Tamandua tetradactyla: one gene and its partners. The protein of the gene in region 4 purifies or fractionates together with the protein of the main gene of each other region. This does not show direct contact. Links are inferred from orthologs where the notes say so. Each region holds a gene or a part of one and is shown on either strand. Other genes may lie near its edges.

What was found.
Region 1: the proteins of KAT2B (region 4) and HIF1A purify together in Homo sapiens (affinity purification with western blotting; 4 studies listed by BioGRID and IntAct, with this or other methods). This does not show direct contact. The link is inferred for Tamandua tetradactyla from reciprocal best matches to the Homo sapiens genes KAT2B and HIF1A.
Region 2: the proteins of KAT2B (region 4) and YEATS2 purify together in Homo sapiens (affinity purification with mass spectrometry; 3 studies listed by BioGRID, with this or other methods). This does not show direct contact. The link is inferred for Tamandua tetradactyla from reciprocal best matches to the Homo sapiens genes KAT2B and YEATS2.
Region 3: the proteins of KAT2B (region 4) and RARA purify together in Homo sapiens (affinity purification with western blotting; 3 studies listed by BioGRID). This does not show direct contact. The link is inferred for Tamandua tetradactyla from reciprocal best matches to the Homo sapiens genes KAT2B and RARA.

The regions. Positions count from the first base shown.
Region 1 is NC_135338.1:3,074,125-3,081,726, reverse strand, and holds the start of HIF1A (hypoxia-inducible factor 1-alpha), read left to right. Parts: upstream 1-4,581; 5' UTR 4,582-5,945; coding exon 5,946-6,031; intron 6,032-6,982; coding exon of another isoform or gene 6,983-6,985; coding exon 6,986-7,176; intron 7,177-7,602.
Region 2 is NC_135328.1:124,425,981-124,432,855, forward strand, and holds the start of YEATS2 (YEATS domain-containing protein 2), read right to left. Parts: upstream 3,008-6,875; 5' UTR 2,837-3,007; intron 2,716-2,836; exon of another isoform or gene 2,638-2,715; intron 2,575-2,637; exon of another isoform or gene 2,340-2,574; intron 1-2,339. UniProt on the Homo sapiens protein: Chromatin reader component of the ATAC complex, a complex with histone acetyltransferase activity on histones H3 and H4. YEATS2 specifically recognizes and binds histone H3 crotonylated at 'Lys-27' (H3K27cr).
Region 3 is NC_135332.1:27,028,853-27,036,559, forward strand, and holds the start of RARA (retinoic acid receptor alpha), read right to left. Parts: upstream 3,003-7,707; 5' UTR 2,896-3,002; intron 1-2,895. UniProt on the Homo sapiens protein: Receptor for retinoic acid. Retinoic acid receptors bind as heterodimers to their target response elements in response to their ligands, all-trans or 9-cis retinoic acid, and regulate gene expression in various biological processes.
Region 4 is NC_135341.1:68,209,415-68,216,485, reverse strand, and holds the start of KAT2B (histone acetyltransferase KAT2B), read left to right. Parts: upstream 1-4,051; 5' UTR 4,052-4,145; coding exon 4,146-4,448; intron 4,449-7,071. UniProt on the Homo sapiens protein: Functions as a histone acetyltransferase (HAT) to promote transcriptional activation. Has significant histone acetyltransferase activity with core histones (H3 and H4), and also with nucleosome core particles.

The DNA of each region.
Region 1 (7,602 bases), on a different chromosome or scaffold from region 4:
AGTAAGTCGTGTAGCTATTCAGGGACTGTATTCCAGGCAGAGGGAATAAGCAATGGAAAGACCCTATGGAGAGAGTGTGCCTTCAGTGTTTGAAGAGCAACAGGGCCATTGTGGCTGGAGCAGAGTAAGCAGAGGGTCAAAAGTGGTAGGACATGAGATCAAAGATATAATGGGGTCAGATTACAGCGCCCCTTATGGGCACTTTTAATGACTTTGGTTTAACTCTGAATGAGGCAAAAAAAAAATTTAAGCAAAAAAGTGATATGACTTGACTTTCATATTGAAATGATTATTCTCATCGCTGTTGTAGGAATAGACTTATAATGGGGCAAAGGTGGAAAAGGGGAGATAAAGTTTGCTTACTTATTTTTGAAAGTGAATATGCAGATAATCGCGGTAAATCCAAATGGTGTATAACTTGTTCGTCTTATACTGTTAATGCTGGTTAGTTGAGATTGTACCCTACAGAATCACAGGAGAACTGATAAAGTACAAATTTAGGGATCCCAAAAACAATTGAAGAGGAGTCAGCATTCCATATGCCAGAATCAAAGTTAAGTAGCATATCTGGGCAGAATACTAACTCCATATTCAAACTTCTGCACATCCCTACTAAGAATCCAAAGATGAATCAGGCAGTTTCCTGCCCCCAAGAAGCTTTCAGACATTGTTGAGGAAGATAAATAATAGCAGAGCAACCAGAGTGGTCAGTTCTAGGAAAGAGAAACAGTTTTGGAAAAGAAAAAGCAGAGGTATAGATAGCAATGATTGAGTTGAGTTTTTAAAGTTTTGTATGACAATTTACCAAAATATTGGGGTTAGCAAGTCAGAGATGAATGAAACACTCCTTTTGAGTGATTGTCATGTGACTGAAGAATGTGAATGGGGGTGTGGCAAATGAAGATGAAGAGATGAGTAGGGAACTTCCTTTAAAAGTAATTAGTCTTTGACCTGTACGCGTTTTAAGCAGGACATAATATGAGATACATATTTTGGAAAGACCATTGTGGTGATAATTTGAAGACTCATTTCAGTCAGTGGTTCTCAACCTTGTCTATGTATCATACACCTCTCAGAAAGTTTTTAAAACCCAGATTTCTGGGCCTTGCCTCAGCTTTACAGAATCAGAATTTAGATAGGTAGGCCCCAAGATTTTGATGTGTTGACAATTATGGTGCAGCTAAACCAGCATTTAGAAATATAGCATTAGTGACTATTTCAGTAGTTTGTTTTGTTTATGATTATATTACTAGTCCTTAGCACAGAGCACCCAATAAATGTTAGAGGGACAATAGTCTATTTTCTCTCATGATGTTTTATGAGGTGAGGAATCTTGGCAATTGGCTTATGACTAGGCAGATCTCCTGAGTAGGTATGCAGATTGATTTTACTTTTGGGATCCTCACCATACAAAGAATATCCAGTAAAAGAAGAGTGGCAATTAACAGTTGGCCTACTGGTATTTTAAATATTATCTTATCTGTGGAACATATGTAAAAAAATAATAATTCATAAAATAATTGAACAAAGCTGTTTAGAAATATCCAAAATGGTGAAGATTTACTATGCTAAAATAAGAAATTAAAAAGCAGTGGAAAAAAAGGATTATATTTTTAAAGCTTTTAGGTAACTGTTGAGGGAAAAAAAAATTTAGATTCCAACCTTACATTTCACCAAAATAAACTCCAGGTGGTTTAATGAACTAGACAGAAGTAGAATAAGATATTTTTCAGATCTTTGGAAGAATATTAGAAGACATATCAATGGAAAAGATTAATTTGACTATCAATATTTTTAACTTGTGCAAGATAAAAGAGAAAACAGATTCCAGAAAAAATTAACATCTAATATGACAAATGGCTTATAATATGTGAAGAAATTATTTAGGTTTTTAGATCTTGAGGGATTACCTTTCAGTGTTATGCCACTATCACCAAATTCTGTAGGATAGGACCAGGCCTGCCCTTCCTGCTTATAAAACAATCTCAAAAATCACCTCGCCCAAGGATAATGTGCTGTCATATTATGTACATTAGTTCTAGGAATAGCTCTAGAACATTTTTAATATAAAATAAAATGCTTCAGCTTTTATTCACTAATTTTCTAATACAAGTTAGAAAAACTTTATAAAAGTGAGTATAATCAAAACCAGGATGTTGCTGTGATTACCATACAGCTGTTGAGCAAATGAAACAAACAAGACTGAATTAAAATGTTCAGATGGCTGCTCTGTACAAATTTAAAATAAAGTTTAATGGGAGTATGAGAGGTAGATTGAATTGCCATCCTCTTATCCTCTCCCCACAGTGGTTGGCAATACCCATTAAACATTGCCTTTCTTTGAAGAGATGCTGGACAGCAGAACAGAGAACATGGCTATTACAGGTACCTGTCAATTAGGACTTCGGATTTACAAGGAGATTCCAGGAAAGAGCATGGCCACGAGTCCATCAAATCCTAAATTCCACAGCCAACACCTATAACTTCTTTATGTCCTTGGAAATGTGAAGTGACAAATTTTAAACTTCATAATAAAGAGCAAGACTTATGAATACTTATCTTGGGAATTAGAATGGGTTTCTGGGAGACAGCATAGTGTAGTGTTAATAGCATGAGGTCTTTGGTGCCAAACTGCTTAAATTAGAATAAAGGTTCTGAACACCATTTATTAACTCTAACCTTGAATAACATATATAACATAATGATAACAGTATTTACATCACAGGGCTATTTTAAGGATTAAGTTAACATGAAAATGTTTAGAATACTACCTTGTACATAGCAAGCAACAAGTAGAAGTCTTTGCATTTAAAGCTTTAAGCAAAATGCCTATTAAAGAGTGAACTTGAAAATTTCCTTGGATTTTCTTCAGGCCTGAGGCTAACCAGTACTGTTTAACAACAAGATATAATTTTCACCTATCAGCTTGGTAAAAAATTTTAAAAGAAAAAAAGGTCCATGATCTATAATCTGCTGAGTGCATAGGAAAATGGATGTACATGTTCATGGATTTGCAGAGACACAAGTAGGTACAAACCTTTTTGGAGAGCTAAATGGCATAATTTTTGAATCAAGCATTTCACTTCACAGCATTTATCCTGTAGAAATACTGACACAGTGAAAAAAAAAATTGTACCTTCAAAGCCAGAAAGTTTTTTTCCTCTAAATAAAGAGAATTGAGGGATTTAAAAAAAAAATTATGCCTTAATTGATCAGAAATACATCCAGTCATCTGCTAGCATTTTTTTCCTGCTAACATTTTGAATAAAGTCAGAGATTTACAATCAGGATGAATAAAGTCAGAGATTTACAATCAGGAATGCTGTCAAGCTTTCTGTATATCATAAGTAGACCACAATGACTTGAAATGTCTGCAATTATTTTGTGTTCTTGTTTAGCTATAAAAGAATAGTATACATTCTCTGTAAAATGACTACTGCTTATGAACTTTGCATACAAGATGCTTAATAAGACAGTGGCTCAAAATAGTTTTTCCTATACAAAGTAATTTCAAGATGTAATTGTTACTTTCTTGCTATAGTGCTGTTTTAGTTTCCTTGTTGCTAAAGCAAATAGTGGGATTTATTGACTCCTGGTTTTGAGGCTAAATAAGAGAAGGCTAAATAAAGGCATGTATCATCAAGGTGATGCTTTCTTTCCAAAGACTACATTCTGGGGCTGGCTGCTGGTGATCCTTTGTCACATTAGCAGTGCACGTGGTGGCCTCTCCTGGCCTCTTCCTTCTCTTCTGGGTTCCACTGACTTTCAGTTTCTTGCTTCCCATGATAACCTCATCAAAAGGTCCTACTTAGAATGGGTTCACACTCACTGGAATGGATTAAGTTTACGAACATGTTTTTCTGGTGTGCATACCTCCAAACCCCACCACAAGTACTATATGTTAAATAATAAAAAAAAAATAAATATGTGAAAACTGCAGCACCACAAAGATTCAGTTCTGAAACAGTCATAGAAATGGTTAAGCAAACTATTCAAAAGAGAATTTGGGGTGCATGGGTGGTTCAGTGGTAGAATGCTTGCCTTGCATGTGGGAGACCCAGGTTCAATTCCTGGACAATGAAATAAAAAAGAAAGATTTTGTGTATATTCTTAGCTGATTTGCCCTCTAGTACACTGTGAAATAGCACCTATGCAGACAATTTCGGTAGATTTGTACTTAAAAACAACATAGATGCAATTGATAATTTAGAGTAATACAGTGGCCTTATTTGCATGCTGAAAATCTGCTTGTTTCCTTCTGGTCCACACAACGTTTGTTCCATCTAAGTAGTAGTAAGTAAGCAAATAGCACAGAATTCTTCTCTATGGGTGCTGTAACCCATGGTCTAATAGAAGTAACTTATGTACTTCTGTGGGAGCAAGAGTGATAAACTGGACTGTTCAGATGTAAAAACTCCTAAGAACTTTGGATGCTAAGTTTTAAGCTTAGAAATGTTTAGAATACCACCTTGTACATAGTACACATGTGGAGATTATTAGATAAAAGTTCTTTATTAAACCTTTATTACATGTTCTTTGAATGCTGTAATCTAAAGATTGTTTATGTAATAATGAACATAATGATTTTCATCACCTTCTACGTCTAATTTAGGTTTATCGACTCTTGAAATATCAGATTACTTGTTTCTTGAGGTTTATTTTACTTCCAGAATTCATGTTTACACTCAGATGCTTGTTCTCATAGTCTGCCCTGACTTATATATTGTCCTTTGATGTTTTATGCAACATCATTTCTCTAATAGGGCAATCATTGCTATCTTTAAGGTTCTGGAGAAGGCAAGTATTTCAGAAGGTATGGAGATTTTCTACCACCATGGTTAGCTTAATCAGATATCCTTTAAAAACATGGCAAGTAATATAAAGATACAATTTTTTCTCCAAGTATTTCATTTGGGTAATCATTTGTGGAAGATTGGTTGTGTTGTTCAGAAAAAGAGGGGGTAATAAATGTGATTAAAGTGGCTGATAACATTCTTTTTTATTTTTATTTTTTTGCTGATAATATTCTTAACACCTGAATTAATTGTGGCATTTGAACCTAATATTCAGGTTTATCATCAGTCATTGATCACCATTCTTTTTTGGTGGTTTTGCTTGAACTACATAGGAATCTGTTTGCCACAGCCACTATTGCTTATCACCCATGACTGGGAGGAGGTGGGGATAAAATAGCAACAGCATCCACTAGGGCCAAAAATAGACTGCTGGCTCAAAACCCAGGGTGAATGCCCCAAAGTGAAGAGATTGTCCATTTTAGATCGCATGGTCTGGGGACTTTTCAAACTCTTTCTAGCAACAGAAACCACTCTTCTCTTCCCCCATTGAATATTGTGCAGAATCCTTATTTATGCCTAAGATAGATAAAAGCTCTATTTTATTATTATACACTTTAAAGTTCAAATTTAAAATATTTACTTAAAGTCAATCGATGGGGCAATTCTAATGCACATTAAAATATTATTACAGATTGTTGACATTCTTGTGCTTTCATAGTAGCATAGGCATCTAATTTATCTGTAGTTTTTTAAATTGTACATCATTGAGAAAATCATGATTCACATATATAAGTAGTTACAAATGGTAATGGTTTTATAGCACACCTTAAATCGCAAGATACTCAAGTTAAACTGATCTAGATACTTAAACTGAAATTTTTACATCAGTGTTATTAACAATATGTAACAAGTGTTCACATTCCTTATAAAAGTATAAAAATATAAGCACACAAAGAATAAATGCTAAGATTATATTGTGATTAGTGTCACAATACAACCATTAGGTATTTACTTGTTGTAATATAAGATAACATGAGCATACACTGAAAGCCTGCCTGTTTATTCGAGTGTGTCGTTCCTACGATTGAACCTTGGTAGCTTTGCAAAAGATCATCTGGAGGGAGGAGAGACTTGAGGTGGAGACCAATTATGTACTTCATTCATAGGATGGGAGGAGAATTAAGTGAAATTATGCAGGCAGAGTCCTTAACATACTGTTACGTGCTTAGTAAATGGTACCGGCTGCTTTCAATTTAATAAATTGGCTTAAATAATGGGATTGAGTTGAGGGGTCACAGGAGAGCAGCTGAGTATTTGAGATTGAAGAAATGTTTTCCATTAAGATAAGCATAGTGGAGGAAGAGGAAAGACTTTGGAGTTAAAAAGGCCTGGGTTCAAATCCCTTCTGGTATGTGACTGTGCGAATGCCAAATAAATTCCAGATGAGCCCCAATTTGCTCATATGTAAAAGAGGGATAATATTTAACCTATAGAGCTAGGCACGTAGTAGGTTCTAATCAACAGTTCCTGTTAAGGAAGAATCTAAGTATCATGCCACAACCTTTTCCCCTTCCTTTCGTATACCTGTATTTACTTGGTAGACTGTTGTGCCAGTAATAGATAAGGTGCTGCTGCTTAGTAGACAACCTGAAAACAGTAGTTTATTATAACTGTTAATAAAAATTCCTGTAGCTTATAGTGAGTATTGTTCTTGTGGTAGTGTAGAGGGTGTGTGGGAGTCAAGAAACTGAGCAGATCAGTTTGTTGCTGTAACTGATATGCTTAGCAACTCTTGTGTTCAAGTCATTATGTACAACTGTAGATTGTTCCTCTAGACTTACTCGGGGTTCTGTATTTTGAAACTGCTTATCAGTGGCTATGAAGGTACAGTTTTTGACTAAAATAAAAACTTCCTCTACAATTTGACATGTCAGGGAGGTAACATCTGCTTGAAAAGATTTAAAGCTTGATCATGAACTTCTTGTGTGAGTTCCTTATGTCTGCAGTACTTCAAACATTTGTATAGCTGTGTAAAAGAACATTCATCTGGTAGACAAGTCTCTAGTTACATGGCATCTTCTAATCCAGCTATGGTAACAGAAGAATATAAAAAGTTTTATTCAAACTAAGCCAAACTAACTTACATAAACTTTCCCTTTCAACTTTTCTCTTCTTTTTTGGTTAAGTAGGATTAGTTCTGAACGCAGAAAAGAAAAATCTAGAGATGCAGCCAGATCTCGGCGAAGTAAAGAGTCGGAAGTTTTTTATGAGCTTGCTCATCAGTTGCCTCTTCCCCATAATGTGAGCTCGCATCTTGATAAGGCTTCTGTGATGAGGCTCACCATCAGTTATTTGCGTGTGAGGAAACTTCTGGATGCTGGTGAGTTTTTTAAGAATTTAATAGGCTGAAAATTAGAACTAGAAATTGTTTAGAAGTTGTCAAAATATTTTGTTTTTTGTATACCCCATTATGTTATAACATACTTGAAAAATTTTTCAATAATCGTATTTTATGAAGTTTGCTTTTCTAATCAGTATAGTTAGAAATAATCTCTTTATATTGTAAGTTTTGCTCTATTCCCTTAAAAACACTCTTAGTTCTTCTTTAATATGATATATTTTTTATTACCTGTCTTTAAAGCTTCATTCAGGAATTTTTAAACTACTAGCTTTTTTCTTTTTCATTTTCTTCAGTCTCAGTTACCTACCTGTTTTCTTTTTAATAACGTGACCCTTTCTCTTTTCAGTGGTTTGCCTTGTTGCATTACTTTAAATAATCCTGAAAAGCAGTTGGCAGGTTTAATAT
Region 2 (6,875 bases), on a different chromosome or scaffold from region 4:
TTTACAACTTAAACATTAGTTCTCCTCTTCCTATATATTCCTATATACTTTATAATAAAAACCAGCAAATAGCCCATAGCAAATTATACTGCAACCACTGAATGAAGTAATGTGAAGGCATTTAAAACTGTATGAAAAACAGACGGGACTCTTTTAGTTTGTGAAAGCTGCCAGAATGCAATATACCAGAAACGGAATGGCTTTTAAAAAAGGAATTTATCAAGTTGAAGTTCACAATTCTAAGGCCCTGAAACACCAACGAGAGGTTACCTTGATTCAAGAAAGGCTGATGCTGTCCAGAACATCTCTGTCAGCTGGGAGGGCTCAAGGCGACTTTAGCTAGCTTTCTCTCCTCATTTCATAAGGCTTCCCCAGGGGCGTTTTCCTTGTGCATCTCTAAAGATCTCTGTGTTGACTCTAAAGCTTTCTCCAAAATGGTTCCCTCTTATAGGGCTCCAGTAAGCAACCCCACCTTGACCGGGTGGAGACACATCTCCATGGAAACCACCTAATCAAAAGTTATCACCCACAATTGGGTTAGTCACCTCTCCATGGAAACAATCAAAAAGATCCCATCCAGCAATACTGAATGAGGATTGAAGAACTTGCCTTTTCTGGGGTACACAGCAGTCTCAAACTGGCACAGGAGGGAATTCTGTAAGCTATATATGAAGGTATGTATATTTTAACATCTAAAGAACTCGATACTAAATTAGAAAATAGCAAACACAAAAGAAACGGTGGACAGAGGACAGCAGCGAGAATTCACAAATGGCAAAAAAATATGAAATATAAGTTCAAACAAACCAGTAAGAAAATAAAAAACTAAAAGGCACCATTTCTCTTCCATCAAGTTTAGTTTGGGGGCAGATGGAAATAAGGTGTCCAAAGAAGGGGCCCCTTTTCCTAATTCGCACCTGGCTTCGCGTCTTCACACCTCATTCAACTATTGCTCTCTGGCTTCTATCAGCAACTTCTAGAACTCACAGTAATACCAGTGACCAAATCAATAACCTCCAAGTTGCCAAATCCAGCTGGCTGCCTGACAGAAACACTAATAAGAGGCCACTTCTCTATTTCCCAGAAGTTGAACTCCTGGGGCCTGCAGGGTGCCAGTCTCCTGCTTTTCTTCACAGGCGTGCTGGGTCCTTTCACTGCTCAGTCTGTACTCTGTCCCTGTGTGTACAGTCCCACAGCTGTGACTCCATCTATGTACTGATTACGCCCCAATTTTTATCTCCACTCCTAACTTCTCTCTTCCCCAAGTTCCAGACCTCCACATACTGACAACCGCTAACATGCATCTCAAATTTATCACATCTAAAATAAAACTCAAATTTATTTTTCTTCTACTCTTCCCCATTTCAGTAAACAGCATGTCCACCTGGGTCATTCTGAACAAAAAGCAAAGCAGCTGCTACCCATCCCTCCCCTCATACACCAGTCCACCCCTCCCTGTGTCTTGTCTGTGCTCCTGCATCTCACCGCTGTCCACGAACTGCCGCCAGGGGCCTCAGGTGCTCTGCTCCCACCCGGGCCTCCTGTCCACGCCCGGCTTTGCCAGCTCTCTGAGCAGGGCGCGCCTGTCCCTTGCCGAGAGCCACCCACAGCTACTACGCCCCCAGGTAGCACCCCTGGACCATAACAGTCAGTGGCGTTTCCCCTTTTGCTTGTCTGTATTTTTATTTTTCTAAAGTAAATACTTGCTATTTTCTTATTAGGATAGAGAACATGGTATTGCTGGCTACTAAATAATATTACATAACATTTCTACGTTAAGAGAAAAAGGAATGGAAAATTAGGTAAACTTTAATCACAATTCATAGAAAAGAAAGGCATGTGTAAATTCTAGCAGACACATCAAAATGCCAAGAATGGAGAAATCAGGGCTGTGGGATTACTGGGATATGCTCCCTCCTCTACCTTCTATTTTTGATAACACCATTACATTCTGAAAAAGAACAACAGAGACTGTTACAAACTCACTGCCTCCTGCGATCCCACCCAGCAGACTTCTCCCAGGGCTCGCCTTCCCTAACTCCCTGGGTGATCCATCTTTCCAAGTCCTGCTCATCCTCCCAGGGGGACAGGGATGGCAGGGCATGCGACAGGCGGAGAGGAAAGTTCCAGGGCTCTTCTTGGTGGGTCCACAATTTGCTGCTGCTGGGCCAATCTCGTCTCCAGACCCCACCGGACACCAGAATACCATGTCCACCAAGCCCCACAGACACAACCAGTGCCAGGTCCTCCCCAGGGGGATCTCCCAGGGGTTTCTCACCTGGACTGAGGCTCCTGGGACGGACCCTCACCCGGACCCAGGCTCCTGTGGGGACCCTCACCTGGACCCAGGCTCCTGGGGGGACCCTCACCTGGACCCAGGCTCCTGGGGGGAACCCTCACCTGGACCGAGGCTTCTGTGTGACCCTCACCTGGACCAAGGCTCCTGGGGGAACTCTCACCTGCACCCAGGCTCCCAGGGGGGGACCCTCAGCTGCACCCGGGCTCCTGGGAGGAATCCTCACCTAAACCCAGGCTCCTGGGACCCTCACATGGACACGGGCTCCCGGGGGGACCCTCACCCGACACGGGCTCCCGGGGGGACCCTCACCTGACACGGGCTCCCGGGGGTACCCTCACCTGGACCCAGGCTCCTGGCCGGGAGTCCGGCCTCTCTGCCGACATCTTCGCTTCCCCTCAGAGGCCGCCGGCTGGCGGGAGGGTGGGGGGGGGTGGGAGGAGGAGAGCGCGCGCGTACCCGCGCCGCCCCGCCCAGACAATGCCCCGGAGAGCGCGGCGCGCGCCCGGCCGGTGCAGTCCCGCTCCCGCCGACACTCACCCTTTTTCCGGGTTTCCGGCTGAAGCGCAGGCCCCACGGGCGCCGTAAGACGACACGGAAACGGGCAGACGCACACAAGGCACCGCGGGCCACACTCGGCCCGGCGACCCCTCGGACGCTAAGCGATCCCTGGGCTGGGCCCGCCGTTCCGTCCCGCACGTCAGCGGCAGAGGCGCGTCGGGAGCGCGCGCGGCGGCGGCGGGGCGGGACTCGCGGGGCCTGGGCGGGGCTCGCGAGGCGTAGGCGGGGCCTGGGTTGGCACCCTCATTTCTCATTTTCCTCTCTGAAGCCGAACAGCTGGCGAGCCAGCCCAAAGTTTGACAGTTTCTTGGTTCTCTTGACATTTATGAAGTTTCCACAATAACAGCTGGTTTTTTGTGTGTGCCATCTGATGCCACCCTCTGTGCTACATGCTAGGAATACAAATAACTATAGTTAGTTACTAACCCATTTTACAGGTGCAGGATCTGAAGCTCAGAAAGGTTGGGACTTACCCAGGTCACACAACTAGTGAATGACAATCCATCAAATCAATGTCTCTTAAACTCATGCAACCTTCCCTCTCCTTTAGCCTGTACCCCTCTAGCCCACCTTAAGACTGCCCAAGATGGTCACAGACTCCCAGCTGGGCTCCAGGAGTCCATCTCAGCTCCTCCTCAATCCCATCCCCTCACTATTTAAAAATGCATCACTAGAGCTGGGGCGGGGGGGTGGCACTTTATTATTTTTTTATACTTTACATATATAATTCTTTTGGATGTTGCACCAGTTTGAAAACATTATGTACCCCAAAAAGCCATGTTTTAATCCTGATCCAGTCTTATGGGAGCAGCTGTTTCTTTTAATCCTGATTCAATACTGTAGGTTGGAAACTTTTGATTAGGTTATCTCCCCAGAGATGTGTCCTGCCCAAATGTGGTTGTGATCTTTTGATTAGATGGCTATGTGACTCCACCCTTTCCAGGTGGGTCTTGGTTAGTTTACTGAAATCCTTTAAAAGAGGAAACATTTTGGAGAGAGTCAGAAACAACAGAAACCACAGCTTACAGGAACTTAACAGCAGAGCTGACACAGATGCTGACACTTGGAGAACGGAGACGTGGATGTTTGGAGAGGCTTGGAGCCCAGCAGACATTGCTATGAGATGTTAAGCAAGCCAGAACCTGGAGAGAGCCAAGGGAAGCCAGGAAAGGAAAACCAGCCCCAGAGAAGCAAAGTGAGGAATCCCCACAGGAACAGAGGCTGGAAGCAACAGAACCCAGGAGCAAGGGACCAACAGATGCCAGCATGTGACTTCCCAGCTGTCAGAGGTGTTCCGGACACATTGGCTGTGGTAGTTAGATTCAGTTGTCAACTTGGCCAGGTGAAGGTGCCTAGATCTATTGCCGTGGACATGAGCCAATGCCATGTGAACTTCATCTGTTGCTGATTACATCTGCAGTCAGTTAAGAAGCGTGCCTGCTGCAAGGAATGATGTTTGATTTAATTGGCTGGTGCTTAAATGAGAGAGCTCAATGTAGCACAGCCCAAGCAGCTCAGCATACCTCATCTCAGCACTCACAGCTCAGCCCAGGCTTTTGGAGATGCAGAAAGAAATCACCCTGGGGAAAGTTGTTAGAATCCAGGGGCCTGGAGAGAGGACCAGCAGAGATCACCCTGAGCCTTCCCAAGTAAAAAAGAACTTCAGTTGAAAGTTACCTGCCTTTCCTTTGAAGAACTAATGAAATAAATCCCCTATTAATAAAAGCCAAACCATCTCTGGTGTGTTGCATTCCAGCAGCTAGCAAACTAGAACATTGGCCTTCCTTGAGTAAAGGTAACCTCTTCTTGGTGCCTTAATTTGGACATTTTTCACTTCCTTAGAACTGTAAACCTGTAACTAAATTCCCCTTTATTAAAGCTGTTCCAATTCTGGTATATCACTCTCCAGCAGCTTACTAACTAATACAGATGTACTTCATGTTTAATAAAAAACGTTGACGGCCTTACACTTGTATCCCCAATAGCAAACCCACTGCATTTGCTCAAAAAATATGTACTGAATGAATGAACAGGAAGGCCAGGAACTGACTCCGAAGCTGTGTGCTATTTTGGGCCCTGAGAGAATGGAGGATTTTATAATACACCACCCTCAGCCTTCTGAGCTTAAGGTCTATTAGGGACAAAGACAGGTGAAACAATATAGTTTTCTCAACAAAGTTGTATTTGGATTTCTAGTCTCTTGTAGCACTGTGCCAGCACTGTGTTAGGCACTGGGTACGTAGGAGTGAACAAAACAGACCCCTACCCTTGCACAGCTTATAGTCTGATTATCAGGAGGGGAAACCTAGTCTAAACTGCAAGGCCAGTCACATTTAGTCTGGAGTGATCATTACTATTCCTGTTTTATTTATGTATAACCTGATATTTAGAGATAAGAATGAAGCCAATTGGGTCAGGATTAAGGTAATTCAAAATATAGGGGTAAGGAAGAAAAAAAAAACTGCAAGATAAAGAAAGGTCTCCCTGAGGAATGACATTAAGCTAAGATTGAAAGAATAGGAATTGGAGAGACAAAAATAAATGCAATGGAAATAAGAAAGGAGAACCAAAAAAAAACCAGTAAGAAAATAAAAATAATGGAGAAAGAAGTGAGGTCAGTGTTCCAGTTTGCTAAAGCTGCCAGAATGCAATATACCAGAAATGGGTTGGCTTTTACAATAGGGATGTATTAGTTTACAAATTCACAGTTCTAAGGCCATGAAAATGTCTAGATTAGGGCATCCAGAAGAAGGTACCTTCTCTGAGGAAAGGCTACTGGCACCGGGTCTCCTCTGTCACATAGGAAGGCACACGGCCGGTATCTGCTGGTCCCATGCTACAGATTCCATCACTGCCAGCGTCTGAGTCCAGAGGCTTTCTCGCTGAGCTTCTGTGGGCCTTCTCTTAGCATCTCTGGGGTGTTTCTCTCTCTGAGCGCTTTTGGCTTTTCTTCTTTTATCCTCTCATGAAGGGCTCCAGTAAAGGATTAGGACCCACCTTGAATGAGGTGGGTCACATCTCAGCTGAAATAGCCCAATCTAAAGGCCCCACCCACAACAGGTCTGCACCCACAAGAATGGATTAAAAGAACATGGCCTTTTCTGGGGTACATAACAGCTCCAGACTACCACAGTCAGCATGAGGGAGTCAATGTCCCCCCTCCCCACTCTTGGGGTCTCTTCTGAATTGGGGCTTAGAAATACCTAGTCAAGGGCTGGGAAGGCTAGAAGCTCATTCTCCCAGCTCAGCCTGGAAAACTGCCTGATTCGGGGGGAAGTAACACTGAGCAGGGCTCAGGTGCAGACAGCAGCACCTGGGTGGAGAGGCGCCTGCCATAACGCTGCTAGGTCTGCACACTTCAGCAATATGCCAGAAATCCAGTCTATGCTACATGGCTGAGAGCTACAGACAGCCCATGGAAACCCATGTAGTGGTCTAATTGGCGGCGCATGGCTGGAGAATACGGTGGAAGGTCCAAGGATGGACAGTGCCCCTAAAGCAGAGGATGGGGATGGAGGAATTACGATGGATAGGTGGAGCATCAGACCTGGAAGGCACTGAAGCAACAGATCCTGAATGGACAGTCAACAATCTCCCCACCTGATGCCAGCTGAGCAGTGGTGACCAAGAGTGGCCAGGGACATGGTGGCAGGGACAAGTGAAGACCTGGTCTACACTCACACTTCTGCACACCTCTCCAGGCACTGCCTCAAGGCCTCCCCTTGATCCCTTAGGCCCTCTTATGAAGCCTAGGGGAAGAAGAACAGCTCTTAGTTTGCAATTAACTGCCTCAAGATTTAGAGACCAGAAGCCGTAGATCAAGATCTCAGCATACAGGGGCGGGGGCTGGGCAGGAGATGGTCGAGATGGCAGCTTAGCAAGGTGTGGGATTTAGTTCATCCTCCAGAACAGCTACTAAATAACCAGAAACAATGCAGAACAATTCCTGGGGCTACGTCAATGACCGGACACACAGCATACCACCAGGCTGGACCAGCTGGACCGGCTGCGAACCCAC
Region 3 (7,707 bases), on a different chromosome or scaffold from region 4:
GAGTGAGGAGGTGAGCAGTTTGGAGGGAAACCTTCCCAATTCCTGACAAATCAGTGCCAACCACATTGTGGGCACTGAGAGGGCAGGGCCTGGCTCCACACGTTGGTCTTTTGAGGGTAGAGGGAATTGACCTGTGGAAGTTAGTGCCAGTTTCCCTCACCCCGGCCCAACTGGAGGCAAGATAAAATAGTGCCCCAGCCTCAATTACGCTAATCTCCTGCTCCCCAAAATGTGTGGGTGCAGACAGAGGGGTTTCGATAGCCACTCCCAGATACCGTAGGGAAAAAGGCTCAAAGGAGAGCAGAAGATCTTGGCTACCCACATGTAAAGATGGAAGCCTGGAAGAGAAGACGGCCAAACTGCCAGACCTGCCACCTGCATCTGCTGCACCTAAGCTCAGTTAGAGACTAGGAGCCGGGAGTCGGGGTGCTGCAGTGCCAGGAGCTACTGTGCCCTCACTCCTCTCCTACTGGGATTCCTGACACCTCCCAGTGCTGGGAGAAGGCCCTCCCCATACAGTAGGAAGGAACCAGCTTAGCGACTCTGGAGACCTGCAGGGGAGCCCCGTACCATGAGGCAGGCGGGAAACCCAGGAGCCCAGGAGCCCTGGCGCCTGGCCCAGAGAGTGAGTGAAATACCTCGGAGGGGAGGAAACAGCCCAGAGCCAGGTAGATGCTTGGTGTCCCCAGCAACTCCTAGATGTGACCCATAAGGAGGTGCTGGCCAAAGGCATCAGCTAGAGAAAGTGAATACACTTCTGCTGAACCAGAGGAGAGAAAAAACTGGGGTGGTGGGGATAGGAAGGAGGTGAGGCCAGCCTGACTTCCCTGTCCTCTTGTCCCCATCAGAGTCGACATACTGACATGAAGCCCTTCAAACACCTCGGTGTGTTTCCCCCGTCCCTAATTTCCAGATGCCAGACTTTTGATCCTATACTTCCCAGGGGCCAGGTTGAGGAGTTGGCAGGCTCAAGGTGGCACTCAGGAGGCCTGGGCAGTGCCAGGGGCGGCCCTCACACCATCCTCCCACTGGCTTCCCTCCTGCCAGCTCTCAGCCGCCACACATATCTCAGCTGTCAAATCCGATTAGGGCTCTCGCCCAGTGAGCTGGACACGGAGGCCACAGGACAGGGGAGAGACAGGGACAAGGACTCCGAGCAGGGATGGCAGAAGGCAAGTGAAGACAGGGCTTAGGGGAGAAGGTATGGAGTCCCAGAGGAAGAGAAGGCTGCTGGAGACATCTGTCCTGTCTTGACCACAGGCTCTCTTGTGACAGCCACAATCTACAGTAGGGGAATTCTGTAGCCCCTGGGGCAATAACCCTGCCTGGCTCCTCCATCCCTCAGATAAGCAAGGACAGGGGAAGGAACCTAAAGGCAGAGAGCTTGACCTAGATCTAGGAAGAGGAGCCCATCTGAGAGAAGCCCAGACCATCACTACCATTTACACTGGGCTTTAGGATTTACATTATTTTGTGGGGTCTTTATGGCAGTGTCCAGTCAGGCAGGCAGGGCTTGCTATTGATAGCCACTTTTACAGATGAAGAAAGAGGCTTAGAGAGTGGGGAACCCTGTATAAATGCAAATTGTTAAACATCCGGGCTGAGTCTTAAATTCAGCCCTCTACTTCCAGGCTATTGCTCACACTGAGAATCTCTACTTCCCTCCTCAGGTCAAGAGCTGAACTAAGTCTGAAGCCAGTGCTTTATCTGCCCTGTCCTCCAAGCCCAACCCTCGGGACTCTGGGGAAGCCAAGGAGGAATGCAGAGCACAGCCCACACCTAGACCGCATTACCAGGGGGCATACCACCCACCCCACCCCTACTACACTGAGAACTGCAGGGGTTCTCCCAAAGAGTTCCCACTCTCTTCTATCACCTCCCCATTCTACTATTCCCAGAGGCAATATACAGATTCACAGGCAGTTACTTAGACAAGTCATACACCCGCTCCTGCAAACCTACCGAACCAGAAGAAGATAACTCTGATCTTCAGAAAGCAGGGCCTATCAGTCCACCACGGGAGGGGAAAATAAGCCACTGCAAACAGTAGGTGTCATCTAGCCTCTCCCAGAGGCTGCAGGAGGGTGGGAGCTACAGGGCCTCCCAGCTCTGGGGTAACACCAGGAGCCAGAGTCTCTGAAGCCAAGGCACCCAAGGAACTGGCATGGCTGGGAGGTCTTCCCATCTGGTCCACACCCCCTTCCCCAGCCATATGGGCTGAGTCTGTTCTAGCCTGGGTTATACTCCGGGATCCCTCCCCTTACCATAGCCACCTACATTCAAAGCTTACAGAGCTTACAACCACATGGTCTCTCCTCACATACACACACACCCCAGGTCAGTAGGGATCTTTCCAATGGGTGTTGACATGTTGGCAATGATGAGGGGCTCTAACTGAACTTTCCCTAGAGGGAAAGGCCACCTAAATGCCGACAACCTCCACCACCCTCCAGCAAAGCCTTTGGCCACCCAAGTGTGAGATGAACCTGGAAGACCTCAGTTCCCTCACAAGGTCCCTCCTCCTGCTCCCTCCACTCTCTATCACCCCAACATTTGCCAATTTTCTTGTCTTGGTGAGGGATATTGGGCAATACTGCAAAGGTAGGTGCAAGGGCGTGGGGCCTGGGCAGACCTTCCTCCCACTTTCCAGTTTCAGCTACAGATTGGGGAATGCCTTGGGGAAAATGCAGGAAGGGTGCTGGAGGGTTCAGGGCCTCTGAGCTTTCAGACACCCCGCTGTTCCCAGACTCCCACCTCCCAAGACACAGTGAGCAATGGGGGAGGAGGGATGGGGAAAGCCTGAACTGGCAAGAGGGAAACGGTAAGATCAGAAGCAGAGAGACCTGGGTAGAAAGCAGACAAGGGATAATTGGGAAGGGGTGTGTTTTGTCCTACCTGCTCAGGTGTGTTGGCAGGGGTATGGTGGGGTTCCCAGGAGAACCGGGGAAGCCCTCTCAGCTCGATTCAGGATTCCCCCCTGCTTCTGGTTAGGCTGCTGCAAGAAGCACAGGCTCCCGTTGGGTCCTAAAGTCCACTCCCCTAATGCTAGGATCTCCCCGCCCTCTTCTACCAGCTCTGACTAGGTCAGCAGGTGCAGAGATAAGGAGCTGAGAACCGATGGGAGAGAAATAACACTCTGGAGGAAAGATGGAAGTCTGAGTCACGGTCTAGGGATAGGAAAGGTCTCAAGTCCCAAATACATAGCACATGGATGACTTAGCTGAGGACAGGATATTACGGGAGAGTAGGGAATAAACATTTCTTCTTGACTTCCCTGAAGATGGATTTGGGCTTTAGTGCTAGAGATGGGGTTAAGATCCCTTTTCTTGTTACCCCTACTAAACTGGAGCGACAAGCACTAATCTTTGAAGGGGTGGGGTGCTCATGCCTGCTTCTACCTACTATCCTTCCCTTCACAGATAGAGCAAAGGCTTTCCATCCCTCCCCACTATTTCTAAGGGCCTAAGGAGCCATCTGAGGGGAAATATCTACTTGGTTTTCTGGTAAGTAAAGTGGGCAGGATGACCTGAATTGCAGCTGAAAAAAGATAGAACTTTACATCCTGAGGGTGAGGTGTGTGCATTTGTGTGTGTGGATATAAATACGCATATTCAGGTGAGGGTATGAGCAAGTAGGGCTAGGGGAGAAGGGAGAAAACACTTTCAGCTACATCGGTTGACAGAAATGGCAATTGTAAATATCAGAACAGAATGCAGAACCTAAAAGTCAGCTAGTGCTCTGACCCAGTCCTCAGTAGGGTTCTGGATTTTTACCAGAATGAACAAATTAAAGAAAGGGAAGTTTTCCCCAGATGCCATTTGGGACATAAATGTAAGGCAGAAGAGTTGGTCAGATGAATTACTGACTTACTTTAGGATAGCCAACCTTCTCAGTAGCTCAAAGAGAAAAACTCAGGTTTGGTGGGATAGGTGGGCAAAGAAAGGGGGGGATGGGAAGTCTACAGAGGGGTGGATTGAGAACATTTTGCAAGGAGGGTTGCACATTTCTCTAGCAGCAGAGCAGGGGAAATGTCATGGGGTGAAAGGCCAGGGAAGCCAGGGACAGACTTAAGGGAGGGAGAGAGCATGGCCTTTTCCTAGAAGGGGAAAGGGCAACAGCACTGCCTCCACCTCTGTCTACAAGAAGAACTGGGGAAGGAGCTAGACAGTAAGGATGGAGGGCCCCAGGGTGGAGTCGGTGATGTGAGCTCAGGTCAAGCCTTTCACCCCGAGGTGCCTCAGTTCTCTCCCAGCTGTTAAACAGGACTCTTGGTTCTTCCCAGGCAGAGTTAATGAGTGTTTACAAAAGGGCTTGGAGCTCCTCAGATCTCAGCTGGGCCACCACTAGTTATAAAGCTCAGTAAGGGCTGAGTGTTATTTGGGGAAAGGAGGAGTAAGGGAAGAAGGAAACAGACTACTCTCTTACAAACTGAGGATAAAACCAAGCTGCAGAGAAGCACAAGGCTCATCTGCCACAGGATATCCTTGTGCCCAGGGACGGAGGTCACATACCCCAGAACCTCTAACCACTACCAAAGGCTGGCCTCCAGCTAGCTGGAGGCAGAACCCAGACTAGCAGCTGGTCTTCATTAACTCCAGCTTTTCACCCCCCACCATGAACCCACAGCTTCTACAGGCCTAGGCTAGAGGGGGCTGCCCCAGTCCAACCTTGCAGCTGACTCCAGTGGGGGCACCACAGGAAAGGCCAAATTACCAGCTGAAAAAGAAAGTTGGAGCAAGAGTCCTTTTTCCCATTGGGAGCAAGAAGAGAGGAAGGGAAGTGTGGGGGTGAGAGGGTGGAGGTGGGGGAATTTAGGGCAACAGTAGGCAGTGAAGTCAGCTGGACTGAGGCCCAGAAACCCCTACACCCTGGGGCCAAGTCTTACTCTAGCTTTGCTTTCAAAGCTCATCTTGGCTAGGCCCCAAACTAGAAGGCCCTGGCTGCCCCTTTCTGCTCCCTACCCCCACCCTTATTAAATACACATTTTATCTCTCAGCATCTTCATTATCTTAACTGAAGGAGACAAGCAGTGGATGGCGGCAGCAGAGCATCAAGGGGGTGGGGGGAGGCACGGGGAGCAGGCGCACCCTTGTTATAAAGTGCTGATCTAGCTCTTTCAGGCAGTGTGGGAAACAGAGGCGAGATCAAAGGGAGTGAGGCTGATTCAGAACTCAATTAGAGCTGTTTTAAAAAGGAGCTTGCTTTCTCCTTTCGCCAGTCTTCAGAGAACCTTACCCAGGCCTCTTGTACCCAATTAGCTTCTACTGCCTTAGGGCTGGGGTTAGAAATCAAGGGAAAACCAAAGGGCAGGCCTTCTCCCCTATAGATCTTTAGAGGGAGACCTGGGCTGTTTATGCCTATGATGGCACCTTATTTTTTTGGGGGAGGATGGTGAGATTGACAACTTCTCCAAAGTTAAAAAGCAGGAAAGCAAAGGTGGGTTCCCTCCTAATCCCTTGCCAACTGAAGGCACAGCTTCTGGCCAATCTCCAGTAACACTAGGTGACATCCAGACAGGCACCCCTCTTCCCAGCCTTCAGGTAGGACTCTCTCCTTACAGCAAAATGTCCCTGGAGCAAAATGGAAGTTGCCTCAAGCAAAATGCCACATCAGAGGGACTGAGTGGTAGGCATCTATGAGGCCAATAAATGCCCCACAACTGTGCTAAGACACATCTCATAAGATGGAACACCCTTCGTGTGCAGGGGCCTGCTCAACATCCCAATGCAAAAGCACCCACAATGTTGAACTGTTTAAAAATGGGAAGACAGGCAGCATCTTACTGGGTTCATTTATCCATTTATTCAACAATTATGGATTGATTACCCACCAGGTACCAGATACTGAACTAAGTACTGGGGATAGAGCCAAATGTGAATAAAATCTCCACCTTGGCTCTCTTCTAGGTTTTCCTCAGTTGCAGTCAAGGTAACACCTCTTGAAAAAAATGTTATTTTTTAGTCCCCAAGCTCTACCTCATCTCCACACCCCAGTTCTCATTGGTGTATATTAATATGGCACTCAATAAAAGTAGGTACCAATGGTTGGGGGGGATGGAGTAGGGAATAGGGGTCCACCAACTTTTTTTGGTATCAGAGGTGGCAGCTCAGGCTGAAACTTGCGCCAACTTTATTGTGCCTGATTTTTTCCATGGCAATACCCACCAGCACTCTAAGAAGCTTGTTTTTTTTGGGGGGGGGGGGAATATATACACACACACACACAAATCAGGACATATCCCACCACCTTCAAGAGGAAAAATGTATGTCAGCATCTCTGCCACCACTCCATGTGAAGCAGCCGATGATCCTGGCAAAAACTAGTAACCACAAGCTCAGCCCAGCCCACTAAAAATTTGACCACCTTACTATAGCTCTTAGCTATAGCTAAGTGAGAAAAGCCAGCAAGGAAAGGACTTTCTTCCTCCTCTCAACCTGCTCCCTGGCTGTCTGAATTACACTTAAGACTTTACTGACAAACATACATCGGCTTTTGCTCCCACAAGGGCAGCGGAAGCCAGGCAGGGATTCTAAGTCTGCTTCACGCATCAGTGACAGAACCAACCCTGTTCCAATTGCTGAAGTCTTGAGAGCAGCAATGACCTAGAAATTGAGTGGGGGGAGAACTGAAGGAAAGGAAACCAACAAACCAATACTCAGAAAAACCTATTTCCAAATACCAGGGGAAAGGGAGAGAAAGGAGGTAGAGAGAAATTTGGCTCCTTTGAATCTGCAAATGTGATCTTGGCTGGCAGCCACGGAGGATACATTGCAGCCCCACTGCGAGTCAAGCCATGTTCCTGACTCAAGCCCCACAGTTAAGAGGAAGGCGCCAAGCCTCAAATACAACGAGGTGGGGAGGCTGCTCCTTTTTGGGCAGGATCCTACTGTGGACACAGAACAGACAGCAGCTGCCCACAGTGTGGAAACTAACTGTAAAGCAGTCACGTCTCTTTAGGTTGCAGTATCCAATAAAATGTAATTTAAATCAAGCCTCGCATCTGTTCTCAATCCCATTCAGTCTCTGCTTTCCATCAGCCTTCGGACAATCTTGCAATTATGCTTATTAACCCTTATAACCCCAGATACTTTCCCAACTTCTAGGTATGCAACTGTGCTCCCCGCTCAAATGCTCCATAAAGGAGTGTGAAAATGGTCACAACATGTAGAATCGTATGTCTGAACTATCCTCTCCTACACACACTAGTGGGTAGTGTTCATTTCAGATGGCTCTCTCTGTTCATCCTTCTACCCCATACCACCTGCTGCAGTCCAGATCACATTGCAGGGATACAGCGGGAAGGATGAATGAAACACTGGCCAACAGATCATTTGTACACATATCGAGTTCCCAAACTCAAGCCCAAGTCAGAAAGGCAAAGGCAGGCAGAAGAGCTCAGGGGAATGAGACTTGGTCACTTGTTCTCTGACAGTCATCTCACACATGGTTTACATTTCAAGCTTGAGTTATAAAAATACAGCAATCTCTTAAATAATCAAACTAGAACTATCTTCTGCCTTCCCTCAAAAGAAAAATACCCCAACCCCAAGCCTGACTCTTGAGGCAGCTTGTGTTATAGTGGTGCCCTCTGGTGTCCCAGTCACAAAATGCCATTTAATGCCATTGGGAGATGAATTGAACAAACCCATTAAAGGGGAGCTGTGAGGAACCATATGTATTAATTTATCTAATAAGAAAAATATGTGG
Region 4 (7,071 bases):
GAAAATATGTCTACACGAAAACTTGCACACACATTTTCATAACAGCATTATTCATAACAGCCAAAATTGGAAACAACCCAAATGTTCATCAAGTGGTGAATGGATAAACAAAATGTGTTATATCCATAAAATGGAATATTATTCCATCATAAAAATTATTGAAGTTTGGGGCATGTTTTAATATAGATTTAGACCTTGAAAACATTATATTAAGTGAATGTAGTCAATCACAAAAGAGCACATATTGTATGCATCCATGAAAATGAAATGTCTTGAATAGATGACTCTATAGTCAGAAATTAAATTAGTGGTTGCCAGGGGATGGGGAGAGGGGAGAATTTTTTTTTTTTTTGGCAGGGGAAGGTGATGAAAATATTCTAAAATCAATTGTGATGATTGTATAGTTCAGTGAATATACTAAAAATTATTGATTTGTACAACTTAAAAGGGTGAACTTTATGGTATGCCAATTTCATCTCAGTAAAGCTGTTATATATTTTAAAACAACAACAACCAAAAAAACTGGGGCAAAAAACCTGAATTAGGTTGTAGATGAGGTTCATTCCTGCATCTTTCTCTACTGTTTTGCCTTTCCTGCTTGGCCCGCTCTCCTTCCCCACAACTACTTTTAAGAATTTGCTGTGCATCTTTCTAGATTGTTCTCTTGCTTTTACATTTTATGTGCATTTATTGAACAGATGCTGAACTTGCTCATATGTTAATGAGAGTTTGTCTTTAGCACAAACAGAATTACACTGTGCTGGAGTTAATTCAGTGTTTCTTGGAGCTCTGTGTACGTTATTGCGTTTAAATAAAGGTCATTTTGTAACAGCTGTATAATATTCCATAGGGTGACTATACTACAAATAACCTTCAGTAGTCAGCTTGCTCCCTACAATTCCGTTCCCCAAGTCCATGTTATTTTCTAATTGTGATGTTCTTACCACATTTAGTTTCTATGTATTTTAAAGGCTAAAATACTGTCTTTTCTTTTTCCTTGGTACCCACTTCCTAACAGAGTGCTCTGCCCACAGGAGGAGCTTACTAAATGCTCACAACAGCTTGATTATGAAGGGGCAACAAACCTGTTGAATTCTTTGCCCTTGAAACTTCCCTGCCTTGTACACAGAGCACACTTTCACATAAGGCCTCGAAACCGTGAGACTTCAGTTTAAGACAGTATATCTGCATGCTCTCAGCAGGGATATAATGAGAAATAACGTTCAGTTGATGTCACAAGCTATTCGCTATTCAGACAGTGGTCGTTTTGATAGTAAATTGCTCTGAGTTTGGAAATAATATGCTTCCTGAATTCTGGGGGTGGCTTGAGAGGGGAAGGTAATGGATGGTGAGTTAATATTAAAGGTGGAACCCGTTACGCCCCTATGCTTAATGAAAATGTTCAAACATAGAGGAAAGTTGACATAATTGTATAGCAAACACTCATACACCAACCACCTAGATTCTATCAGTAACTTTTTGCTACTTTTGCTTACTTCTGTCCATCTCCCCATTGGTAGATGCATCAATTCATTTTAATTTTTGATGCATCTCAAAGCTCATTTGTTATCTCAAAGACATCAGGATATTGCACCCCTAAACTTTCAGCATAAATATTATTAACTAGAGTTTTTATGATTAAAATCAAATTTTGGAGGTAACATTTACATCCAGTGGAACGTACCATTCCATAAGTTTTACAGATGTCTACACAGCGTAATCGAAACTTCAATCAAGATATTTCTCAGCATATTAGTTTTCTAGGGCAGGTGTAACAAAATGCCACAAACTATATATGTAAAAACAGCAGAAATTTATTGTCTGAAATGAAGGTGTCAGCAGGACATGTTCCCTTGGAAACCTGGAGTGGAGCATTTTTCCTTGCCTCTGGCATCTGGTGGTTTGCTGCTGGCAATCTTTGGCATTCCATGGCTTGCACCAGCAGCACTTCAATCTCTGCTTCTGTGGGCACATGGTGTTTTCCCCTGTATCTGTCTGTTCCTGTGTCCGAATTTCCTTCTTCTTATTGGGCACCAGCCATATTGGTTCAAAGCCCACCCTAACCTAGGGTGGCCTCATCTTAGGTAATCAAGTCTTCAAAGACTATTTCCAAATCAGGAGGTAGGGGTTAGAACCTGAGCATATCTTTAGGTGGGACACAATTCAATTCATAATACTTCATTCATTCATTCATTCTTGGGAATTCTGACAGATCTGCTAATATCATGGGAGTTTGACCCGGAATCACAGCTTTTAAGACTCCCATCCTGCTTTGGTGAGTAAGAATGGGAAAAAAAACCCCAAATCTGCAAAACACCCCAGCAAAGCCACAAGAGAGTAACAGTGGTAAAGTGAAGCACATCAAACCAAGAAAGGAGGAATTGAACTAACTCTCCTGATGGAACCTGATAAGTCGGCCATTTCAGACCTTTACACTGGGCTCAAGTTGGGAGAGGATATTTCCTTTGGTCCTTTCTGACACCACTTTATGTGTCTATACTTCTTCGTAGTTCCACTTTTATATATCACTCTGTATTAAAAGTTGAAGGAATATGGGAAATCTGGGTAAATGACAGAGAAAATTAACTGGGATGGGGAAGGGAACATTTCCCGGCGAAATCTGTTTCTTAAGAGGTCTCTGGCCTTCTGCGGGATTGGGTGAGAGCTAGAAGGCACGCGAAGAATCTGATTATAAGCACATCATGTCCCAAGTTGTACATCATAACATTTGTCCTCCAAAATTAGGGCACTAGTGAAGGGCGCTGAGAAGTAGTGCTTGACTTTTAAGAACTGCTTTTGAGAGGCCGACCGGGCATAAATTTGAAACGCAAAACTGAAATGTTCGCTCCACATTCCTAAACACCACCCTCACAGCCATCAGCGCAAAAACAGTTGAAAACGCCGAGTCAGTTAAAAAAAAAAAAGTTCCAGGCCAAAATAAACACTCATCTTGGATGCTGCGTAAATTTTTTTTTCTCGGTTACTAGGCATGCCGGTGATATCACATTTGAAACTGTGGAAAATTTTTAAAAAGAAAAGAGCAAGGGGTTATAACCCCGACATGCAAAGGTAAGCCCTGATAACGTTTTTAAAACTTTGATTCAAACTTCTCCTCCTGCCCATGTTTTTAATTTTGACAGTGTTTTTTAGGCAATCGTTCTTTTAACAGCCAGCATTAAAAAAAAAAATTACAGAAAATAATTGCTCGGCAATCTTTTCCCTCCTCTGGCGGGTTTCACCCAGAAACTACAAGAAAGCCTTTTTAATTACTTTTTTTTTCTTTTGATAGAAACGTGTTTAAAAAAGATTAGCAGATACCATCACGTCTTTATTTTTGGTGAATTAGCAACAAAGAAAAGGATTAGCATGGACGGGTACTTTTCAAAAATAATTTTTTTTTTCCCTCTGGCTCCCGCTAGGGTGGAGGAAGTTGTCTCGGCTCCGAGAGAGGGTAGAGAGAGTGGAAGGACAAATGACTGGGACGCCCCCTTCTCCCGCTCCAGGCTCGGAAACGCGGGGGTCGCCTGGGGAGCTGCGAAGAGGGAGGCAGCCAGCAGGTGCCTGGGCTCCAGCCCCCTACACCCCTCCTCAACCCCACGCCCGCCCCCACCCCGAGCTTGGCCTCGCCTCCAGGCGGGCGAGCGCTATAGGTGTCGAGGCGTGGGGGTGGGGGGCGCAAACCCCGCGGGGAGCAGAAAAGAGACCCAAGGGGTCCTCCCGGCACCGGCACACAACGAGAGTTTCGCATCCCCCTCACCCTGCTGGCACACAGCCCCAGCCCTCCACACGGGGAGCACGTCCGAGGCCAGCGAGCCGAGCAGAGCCCCGGGGAGGAGAGCCGGGGGAGGGCGTGTGCAGTGGCAGCAGCAGCGGCGGCAGCGGAGCCGCTAGTCCCCTCCCTCCTGGGGGAGCAGCTGCCGCCGCCGCCGCCGCCGCCACCACCGTCAGCGCGCGGGCCGAGGCCGGAGCGAGCCGGGCAAGCGGCGCGCGCGCGGGGGAGGGCGGGGGCGGGGAGGGGGGTGGGAGAAGGGGGCGGGAGGGCGTGGGGGGAGGGTCTCGCTCTCCCGGCGACCAGAGCCCGAGAGGGAGACCCTGGCGGCGGCGGCGCCTGACGCTCGGCGCCTCCTGCCGTGCTCCTGGGCGGCATGTCCGAGGCTGGCGGGGCCGGACCGGGCGGCGGCGGGGCAGGAGCCGGGGCAGGGGCCGGGGCAGGGGCCGGGCCCGGGGCCCTGCCCCCGCAGCCCCCCGCGCCGCCGCAGGGCTCTCCGTGTGCCGCCGCCGCCGGGGGCTCGGGCGCCTGCGGACCGGCGACGGCAGTGGCGGCGGCGGGCACGGCCGAAGGACCAGGAGGCGGCGGCTCGGCCCGGATCGCTGTGAAGAAGGCGCAGCTGCGCTCTGCTCCACGGGCCAAAAAACTGGAGAAACTCGGAGTCTACTCCGCCTGCAAGGTACCAGCTCGCCGCTCGCGGACCGCGGCTGGGGGCGAAGGGCCCAGCTCTGTGGGGCCCCCGCCCTCTCCCCCTCCCCCTCCCCTCCGCCCCCGCCTCCCGCCTACCGCCTGGGGCCGCTGCACCGCGGAAGTGCTGCTGCCGCCCGCGCCCAGTTAGCTCCTTTTCGGATAAGAGTCCCGTTGGGTTGGAAGAAGGGGAATCACCAAGTCGGAGAACCCGTTCCCCACTCCCTACCCCCTCCTCGGATAGAATACCCTTTGCATTCGCGCTCCGGGGCTGCCCTGGGGCTTCGCTGCTCTATAGGAGCTCGCCGGAGGCGTCTGCTAGGGAGTGGAGCCCTGTTCACGGTGTGGCAGGACGCCCCAGGGTCAGGAAAACATCTCTGGGATCTGAGTGACTCGCTTGCGCCCGGTGCCCCACTGGGAGGGGTTGGGTGCAAAGAGTGAGGGTGGAAAAGACTCTCGGATTCCTTGCTCTGAGAGAGAGAGAGAGAGAGAGAGAGAGAAGGGGCAGGACGCGCAGGGTGGGGAGGTGGACACTGCCCGAGGCGAGGGTCCCTGGAGCGCCTGGAGCCCTCGGCTGGGGGCGGAGGTACTGCAGCGCGCCGTGACAACCTTGTCATTATTGTATTATTACTTATTTAGTTAAAACGCTGTCCTAACTGCTCGGGGTGTAAATAGGACTTGACAAGGTGACAGCCCAGCACTGTGGGCACTGCTACTCAGTTTGAGGATACACGTTTCTTTCCATCCTGTTCTCCATCCCAGCTATCGGTGGCCCCTGGGCCCTCAGCTGAAGACCCAGATGTAGGTGCTGCGCGCCTAGGGTGGGAGGATTGCCCAAGGCCGAGGGGCAGGCTGGCCCTGCACTGTCAGCAGAGGCTTTGTTTTGACAGGGTGACAGCTGAGGGGGGCGGAGACTTGGCCTTGTCAGCCTCTGCGGCCTGTGGCTGAGGCGGGGAAGACTCTTGCACACACTCAATCACCTCCCGTGCACGTATTCTTCCCGTCTGCTTGTAAACAGGGTCAAGTTCCCAGATTTCAGATGGCCACAAGAACTCTGCAGTGACCGCTTCTGAGTTTTGGTGTAAAGGTTATCAATACTGCTAGAATTCCTGGACTGTCTTGGTCCTGCTGTTTTTAGTATTTCCAGGAGTTTCTCCACCTCAATGGAATGACTGTGCTTGCCCTTTTCCCAGACCATTCATCTCTTTGTGTATATATTGAGCATTTGCTGTGAACCTTACACAGGTTCAATAAATATTTGTTGAATGAATGTAGGATCCAGTGCAGTGCTTCTCAAACTTTAATGTACATAGGAATCTCCTGAGAATCTATTAAAATACTGATTCTGAATCAGCTGAGATTCTGCATTTCTAACGAACTCCTATGTGATCCTTTACTGGTCCACAGACCACACTGCAAGTGGAAAAGACCCAGGTTCAGCCTTGACAATGTATCTTAGTCGTTTATAATTCAGCTGAGAAAATTAAAACTATGAAATAGTAATGTGACATGATATTTCTGAAGAAGAAATGTGAAAATGTTAAAGTAGGGAACATCCTTCTAAAAAGGAGAAAGGCTAGGAGTTGGTTATAAAGGGCATTAGACCAATCAGAGTGAGACCTTCAGTGTAGTAGGCAGAATGGAGTGTTGTGCACAGAATCTAGAATAAGTTCAATTACTTGGTGAATTTGTGTTTTGCATTGTCTCATGTAGGGACTGTGTCAAGCTCTGTGTTTCTGTTCTGGTTTTGTATTGGGTTCCCATCTTGAACACCACTTCTCCCCACTGCCTGCTGTCACCTTATTATCTAACAATTCCCTGAAATTTTGAGTTCTTTCTAAAACCATGGGCATATGTGCCCTGCATTGATATTTTTGATCGATCCAAATTTTCACGCATGAGATGTAACCTAAAGGTTGTGGTTTGAGTATTTCGTGTTCCCACTCACCTCTACCACACTTACAAGAAGAAAAAACATCTACAATTCTCCTTAAAACCTTAAAGGCTTCTTGTCCTGCTCCTGGAAAACTCTGAAAGCTTCAACTTTTATTTGCCCATTTATTCAATAAATATTTAGAGAGGTCCCACTGGGTGCCAGATACTATGCTAGAAGCTAGACTGTGATACTCAGAGTCTGTCCTTCTTGAGGTACTGGTCACTCATGTGTGCAAGTGTGTGTTGGAGGTGGACTGTAAAGCAATTACAATAAAGTTCAGAAAAACTGTTTTACAAAATTGATGAGGGAAGCCAGAGCTGGGCAGTTCACGAGATAGAGCCTGAAGAGGATGGAGATGGCTTAGAGAAAGTGCCAGTGGGTGCTAAGGACACTTGGCTGCTCAGGGTAGTAAGGTAGCGTGAAGCTTCTTGTAATGGAGCAACCGAAAACAGTTCTGAAAGGTAGAAAACAGTTCTGAAAGGTAGGCGCTGGGTCAGCAGGAGCTAGCACTCCATTGACCTGGCTGCGAGGGTGGGAAGTTATGGTCATGAGGGCACTGAGGAATGGGGAGAGTGGCATCATCAAATTTGCTTTCTTTTCTTTTTTTTAATACTGGGCTTGGTTGGGTGTGAGTTGGTTTGAGACATCAGAACCTATGGTTCTTTTCTCAGCTTGTCTC